Tribolium castaneum: one gene and its partner. The protein of the gene in region 1 interacts with the protein of each later gene in a biochemical or structural test. Links are inferred from orthologs where the notes say so. Each region holds a gene or a part of one and is shown in the gene's direction. Other genes may lie near its edges.

Evidence for each region.
Region 2: the proteins of Sos (region 1) and drk interact in a test that uses a peptide from one of them, tested with the Drosophila melanogaster proteins (2 studies listed by BioGRID, with this or other methods). The link is inferred for Tribolium castaneum from reciprocal best matches to the Drosophila melanogaster genes Sos and drk.

What each region holds. Positions count from the first base shown.
Region 1 is NC_087401.1:14,844,942-14,848,771, reverse strand, and holds part of Sos (protein son of sevenless), read left to right. Parts: coding exon 1-105; intron 106-230; coding exon 231-242; intron 243-445; coding exon 446-621; intron 622-670; coding exon 671-831; intron 832-3,181; coding exon 3,182-3,633; intron 3,634-3,830. UniProt on the Drosophila melanogaster protein: Promotes the exchange of Ras-bound GDP by GTP. Functions in signaling pathways initiated by the sevenless and epidermal growth factor receptor tyrosine kinases; implies a role for the ras pathway in neuronal development.
Region 2 is NC_087399.1:3,452,111-3,456,088, reverse strand, and holds drk (growth factor receptor-bound protein 2), read left to right. Parts: upstream 1-1,351; 5' UTR 1,352-1,414; coding exon 1,415-1,492; intron 1,493-1,536; coding exon 1,537-1,634; intron 1,635-1,685; coding exon 1,686-1,805; intron 1,806-1,856; coding exon 1,857-2,022; intron 2,023-2,454; coding exon 2,455-2,628; 3' UTR 2,629-3,306; downstream 3,307-3,978. Other genes in the region: Ucp4A (mitochondrial uncoupling protein 4), read right to left, coding at 1-298, 444-554, 767-797; sta (small ribosomal subunit protein uS2), read left to right, coding at 3,815-3,978.

The sequences.
Region 1 (3,830 bases):
TACATTTCGGCCGATATTTTAAAATTGGCGGGAAATTACGTGAAAAACATCAAACATTTCGAAATCACCTACCAGGATGTCCAGATTTCGATGAATGCGGATAAGGTAGGCCACTGTAATAATCACTAGCTAGATGTTTTTTATTTGACGAGTTAGGTTAGGATTAAAAAAAATGGAGAAGCTTTTCATTTTTTTGATTAACTTGCTTTTGCTTTCACGCTGCGTCACAGCCCACAGCCATGGTAGGTAGCCATGTTTTTAGTTATTTAATTTCTTTCAATGTGGCAGCATGTTTTTCTCCCTAGTTATAGAACTAGCCGCCAGAGACTTGTCATAGATGGGCTTGATTTTAGTTGCCGCTTGCACAGGTCACTATGATTTCCGCTTTTGCACACTTTATCTAGTCAGCGTCGGTCATTTCTTCACACTTTCGTATTTTTTATAGGCACTCATGGATATGTTCTATCAAGATGAAGGAGGGGGACCTGGTTTACCGACTGAGTCGCTTTTAGTGTCGTCGGCTCCGCGCACGAGTCTCACGTATGAGGAAGTCGTAAGAGAGTTAATAGCTTCGGAAAAAGCATACATCAAAGAACTACACATGTTGATCAAAGTGTTTCGGTAAGTCTCGGATTTGGTCGGGTCACGTGATGTGTGACGACTGTTGCAGCGAGGAAATTATCAAACTAAGCTCCGATTCGACCGAAATTGAACTGATTTTTTCGAACATTATGGATATTTACGAACTGACGTATACTCTATTGGGTAGTTTGGAGGACGTCATCGAGATGGCGCAAGACCAAATGTCGTACATTGGCAGCTGTTTCGAAGGTAACGCGATTTTGAAACTTGTAATTGCATAAATGAACCAATAATTGAGAATTACTAATTTTAAGATATGTTTAGATGGAAATTTTTATTTTTTAGCAGGTGTTTAGCATTTTATGGCCATTTCATGGCGGTTTTTTCCAGTCTGAGACATTTAATATTACTATGTTTGGTGTTTTTTGGTCGTAAATAAGTATATATTTTAATTTTTACAGCAGAGTTTAAAACTTATCTGGTTTTGCAGCGCGCTTACAAACCGATATATATTTTTATTGGCTATGAAAAAATATTGTTTTAAATAGGAATTGAGTGAATAAAAATAAGTTTGTGTTTTTATGGACGGAATAATTTATTTTTAGGTCCAACGTCACGTAATCAAATGGCTTCATACGAAAATAATTAATTTCGAAACGTTTGAAAAAAACAAAGAATAACTAATTTTTTCGAAACTTTCTTATGTCTTTTTATATCTTTTACGAAACTGTAGAACTCGCCAAACATTTATAAAAAAAAATCAAAATCAACACAATGTAATTTTTCTGAAAAAAAAGTATTGCATTTTATTTTTTTATGATCTCTAAGAAACAAAAATTGGTATAAATATTTTTTTAAGGTTATTGTTATTTACATATTCACGTTGTATGTAATAATTGTATTCGCAAATTAATCTACAAAATAAAAAAGTTTTGTCATTACTTTTGTCCAAGACTGTACGCAGCAAAAGCTTCTTTATTATTTTTTTTGTGAGGTTTTAATTTTGCAAAACATTTTAAATCTTCAACTTTGGGACCTTGCATTGATTTTGTACCGATTTTTCACGATTTCTAAGCAAAAAAATTTGTTAATTAATTTTTTTTGAGTTTATGTCACGAAAATAAAAAGTTTTTTAACCGTTTTTTCGGCTTGATTATGTAAATCTAGCCTCGTAATAGATTTTTACCTGCCATGTTGGTGATTTGTGGTATTTTATCAATAAAAAAAAGCTTGTTTTAATGAAAATTTTGAAAATTGATTGAACGATTAAGCTAAAAGTCGTTAATATTGCAATAGCTGGTTAAATTAAGGGTTCTAGAGGGTGTTTTTGTTATAACAATATCAAAATTATGAGCTATTTTTAAAGAATTTTTGTTAATATGTAAAAATTAATTTTTTGTGTACAGTACACAACAAAATCAATGTCACCCAAGAAATTGGTTTTAGAAGTATATTTGTACTAAAAAATCCTAATTAGTTTATGAAGTGTCAATTCGTGACAACAGTAAGTAAGACACACTGAATAAAATTGTGTAAGAACATTCGCTTTTATCGTCATGAATACAAAAAAATAAAAATAAAAAAATTACAAAAAAAATTCGTCTGATTCATTGACTTTATACAAAGTTAATATGTAGCAGATAATAAAGAATAATGGAAAGAATCTTCAAAGAAATAATTTATTTATTTTTTATTATGTATTTATTTATTTATATTTGCTGCAGTAATTTCGTCATAAATGACGAAAAACGTCAAAATTGTCCGACAAATTTACATATTGAGAAAATTGGTTTGGTTTATTTATAACAATTATATTTAGAGGTTGATAATAAATTTAATGAAACGAATGTTGCATTAAAAAAACAATTATAATTCACAATTTTTTACATATAAAAAATTTTTGTCTGTTTATTATGAGAAGCTTTATTTCATCTCGTAGAGTCTGTAATGGGCCTCATAGGCTAGTACACCTGAAAAAACAGATAATGTCTCACCTAGCAATAAAAATACATTTACATTCAGTTTTAACATTTTTTTTGAAATAAATCTGTGTTATTAAATCATTATAAAGCGAATTGCAACTTTTGATTTAATTATTACTTAAGCAAACGTCATAATTATAAACTATAGGCTATTTCAAAGTTATAACCACAAACAAAAAAATTACAAAATTTAAAAATTTCAACTAATTTTAATAATAAAATTACTTAATTACTCAAAGCTGTTTGCTATACCACTGATTAACTTGAAACTGTTAGCACTACGGGAACATGTAAATAATATTTATTCAAATTTTAATACAGAGCCGCATCATGTAACAATTTTTACATTTTTATATGTAATATTTTTTTCTGAAATAAAATTTGCAAAAACAAATGTGTGAGCTTATGGGTTGATTTACCGACACGACATTTTCAAAATAGTCAGGTGTACAATAAAATAGCAAAATCGGCCGTTGCTATAAGCAACCAAATTTTAGCGCGGCTAAAGCACACTTCGAATGGCGTTAAAAGTAGTTCGCGAAATGGCACGAGCGTAGCGAGTGCCATAAAAATATATTTACTTATAAAAAACTTCAGATGTAATTTTTTGTTGGCAGAGCTGGCCGAAGCCGCCGAATTCGACGTGTACATAAAATACGCGAAAGACGTAACCGCCCCCACATGTCGCTCCACCCTCAACAGCCTCCTCTCGCGCCCCGACGTCGAAAACGCGCTCATCTCAGCCGGTCAAGGCATGCGTCTCGCCCTCAAGTATTACCTGCCTGCGCTTCTAATGGGCCCCATCCGACACTGCTTCTCCTACATCGAATACATCACCATTTTACGGGGCCTGTCCGTGGCCCCCGAAGACCGCGAAACCCTCACCCAAGTCGAAGGCTTACTCAAACCCCTCCAAATCGAGCTCTCCCGGTGCGTCCCCTCCCCCGCCATGCTGCGCAGCTGCTCCACCCCCTTCCTCCAAGTGCGGGCGCGCCGACAAGCCGCCTTGGATAAACTGCACGAAATCGAGAAGAACGTCGAAAATTGGGACCCGAAGGATTTGGGACAGGTATTGATTTTTTATCCTGATGATGTATGTTATAATAGGCGAAACGTTGCGTAACAGTTGCTTAAAACGAGTTTGGATGAAAAATGTGCTAATTTTGTTCTCTTCGAGTGTTTAATTACCAAATAATTAATCACTATTTTGAAACATTTTGTAATCCAGAAAGTAAAAAAGTAACAACCCGCTAAAGTTGTTAAAAG
Region 2 (3,978 bases), on another chromosome or scaffold:
GCTGTGACCCCACAAAGGGCCGACTTCCACACGGGGAAGTACTGCTCGGTGCCCGAGTCGAAAAACTTGTCTTTGAGGTGCTTGTACGTGACAATTCGAGTACCTGAGTAGAACAAGTGGCGGTACAAGGCGGCGTACGCCCCCTGCCACAGCTTCAGAAACCCCTCCTCGGAGACGATCCCCACGGCGGTGCGGAACAGCCCCCGGTACGGGGCCTTGACCATGCTCGCATCTTTGGTGTTGGCGACCTCACCCTGTATTTGCAGCCGCGTTTTGGCCAAATCTAACGGGTAAGTCACTGCAACGAGAGTCAAGGTCAGGTGATGAATAAATCAAAACTAACTTAAACGAAAGACTCGACAAACGCCAAGTTATTCTATAAATAAAGCGCGATTTTTTGAGGGAATACAAGGTGGCAAAAGTTACTTAATTTCTATTTTTACCTAACTCCGCATTCCACGCTCCGACCACCGATACCATGTACATGCACCATAGCGAGTCCACGTACTTGTGCTCCTTCGGGGGCGGAATCTGCGGCATCTTCACCAAAAAGCCTGAAATCACGGTCTTATAAGATTCCCATAGGGCAAAGTTCGAAACTCCCGCGGGGGCAATGTGCACGTAGCGTGACCGATAAAGACACAATAAGCCTTCATTCCTACTTTCTGCGTGATAAAGCGGAATGGAAATTGCAAAATTAATGAAAAAAAGGGCAATTAAAATTCAAAAAATTGTTGTGACGACTTGACAACACCGCACTATTAACCTGCAACCAACTTGTTGTCACTTTGACACATTGACACCACTTGGGGCCAGTTAATGGCAAACTCACCATTTATTTGTTTGGTGGAACTTCCGTAACTTCATTAGTTAAGTAAATAACGAACAGTTATAGATAACAATTGTCACGGCAGTGCTTTTGGGACTACATTGTTGGTGACGTGTGAGTGGTGTTGGTAGAATTTGATTCAAGTGACAGACGATTACTGCGCCCCTGGCGAAAAGTAGTTCCGGATTATTTCACCTTTTTTTTGTTATTTCCGTACCCAGTATCGAATTCTTTCCGGATTATCGTCTTTTGCGCCTGATTACTTGTCCAAAGCCGGCGAGTTTGTTGTGTTTGCGCGATAAGAGCGATTGGCTGTGATAAGATAGTGTTCCTCCGCCATGATTGTCCTCCAGTGTTGAATTTCATCAGTGACAGAAGGGAGGGTTCTCGTAAGGTTCGCGTAAAAACCCAACAAAAACACCAAATAAAGTGATTATCTTCCAAAGAAATGTGTTATTCGTTAGATTACAAAGCGGATGCTTAGTGCTAGTTGGAGGAAGCCAATGTATTGACATTGCCGGTGCTATTTGAACTTTTTTGGAGTCAGCTCTTGTGCTTTTATTTGTGATAAGACGAACTTGAACAATGGAAGCAATAGCGAAGCACGAATTCAACGCAACGGCCGACGATGAGCTTAGTTTTCGTAGATCTCAAGTCCTAAAGGTACTTCCCCGAAATTGTGGCTTGCCCTAAAACCATTTTTCCAGATACTGAATATGGAAGACGACATGAACTGGTACAGAGCTGAACTGGACGGCAGAGAAGGCCTAATTCCTAGTAATTACATAGAAATGAAGAACCACAGGTAAATACACCTTGAGGGGTCACATGATAATAACACAATTCTCTTGAACAGTTGGTACTACGGTAGAATCACAAGAGCTGACGCCGAAAAACTGCTCTCAAACAAGCACGAAGGGGCCTTTCTCATACGTATTAGTGAATCCAGTCCAGGAGATTTTTCTCTATCTGTCAAGTAAACACACTTTTTAGCCCCCAAAATTATAAATAACCCCCATTATCGCAGGTGTTCTGACGGCGTGCAACATTTCAAGGTGCTAAGGGACGCCCAAGGCAAATTTTTTCTCTGGGTAGTCAAATTCAATTCGTTAAATGAATTAGTAGAATACCATCGCACGTCGTCCGTGTCCCGGTCACAAGACGTCAAGCTGAAGGACATGGTGGCCGAAGAGGTGCGGAATCGTATTGTCTTTATTTTCAGAACAATTGTCAGTGTAGTCATGTTGGTATAAGCATTATCACCCTGTAGTTATTTGATATATAGTCTGGTCTACGGAGGACTATAAGTTAGGATACTAAATCGCAGGATTTCCTGAACCCAAAAAAATTGTACGGTAGACTTAAATGAGGGCGCTTCAAGCACCAAATCGTTTTAAATTAATTTAAATTCAACCAATTCACTAATAACTCGGAAAAAATGCAGTAATGTTGAGTTTGCATTCTCATCAGACTGAGGAAAACTGTCGACTAAAGTTTTTATGAAAAACATGAGGAAAAAATTATTTAAAATTTGCGATGATTTTTTGTGGGAGTTTTGACCTTGACAATTGTTTTGGAGAATAAATGGATGTAGAAATGGGCAAATTGTGACGTTCCTGTTGCAGTGCTTGGTGCAGGCCTTATACGACTTTACTCCACAAGAAGCCGGCGAGCTAGAGTTCCGAAGGGGCGACGTAATAACGGTGACGGACCGCTCAGATCAGCACTGGTGGCATGGCGAGATCGGACACCGTCGCGGCCTATTCCCCGCTACTTACGTGACGCCTTACCACACATAATATTTTTCCCTTAATTATTATTTTCTCAAAGGCATTATTTCACCACCACTCTTGGAAAAACCTGCGCAACTGTGGGCGATTTTTTACTTGGTTTTTAATTTATGTGATTTTGTAATAATCGTTTAGATGATTTTATTAATTGCTCATTGTTTTTGGAAAATCTCTTAATGTAGTTTTAAGATCAAATATTTTTATATTGGATCAATTGTACTGAAAAACGTGAAATTTATTAATCTTCTTCAGTTCAGTAGGTTATGGAATATAATATAATGTTTAATTTTTTAGGTAGAGTGTATGACAGGTTGCTTACATTTTACTCTGTTCAGATATGCAACGAAATTAACCAGTTAGGAGCAAGTGGAGCTAGTTTCCGTCGAAGATTTAATATTTAAATCCAATTTCCTATAAGATAGTGCACACAATATCGTATTTTTAGCAAATCAGATGCCATTTTTTGTATTTCTTTAAGTTATGGAGATTCGTGAGTTTATTTCAAAAGATTTTTATTTGTATATAATGCGTTAGAGATTATGCCAGAATTTTATTCAACACTCATTCGTTTGGCATTCTCTTGCTTTGACTTTTAGACTTTGTATGTAAATACTAACATAGTTTTATTATTACAATATTGCATTATTATAATAGGCGAGTATAAGTAAATATATGTTATATAAATAACAGCCGTTTTATTGCTTTCCTCTAACTCCAAATAAATACTCCAATTTTCTGACCTGCCCAACTTTCCTTAGAAATTCCATAAAATTAGAAAAAGTATTATGATATAATTTTACTCAGATGAATTTCACTCGTTGAACATTGATTTAACATTTTGGAAGTCTGAAAATTACTGCTTTTCTCGAAAACAAAAAAGGAAATTCAAATTTCGCACCACAATTTCACTTGGTGAAAAAGTGGCGATAGCCAACATCACGGCACTAAAGTTCCTTTTCCACGAAGGAATCGAATCCCAGTGGCATCTTTCAACGTAAGTCCCTCTAATTTCGAAAAATCTGACCCATCATCAACGATCCCGCCCTTAAAACCCCTTTAAACGTTCAATAAGCCCCATTGCCACACAATCCTGTGCTTATTTTCCCAAATTCGGTCAAAAATCACCGAAACACCGCCATAACCTAACTCTTTCACGCATCTTCCAGGTTACTCGTAACTCAATTCTAACGTAAGGATGTCGGGAGGTCTGGAAGTTCTCAGCCTCAAAGAGGACGATGTGACCAAAATGTTGGCCGCCGGCACCCATGTGGGCACCACTAACGTAGACTTCCAAATGGAACAATATGTTTACAAGCGGCGCGCTGACGGAATCCACATCATCAATTTGCGCAAAACTTG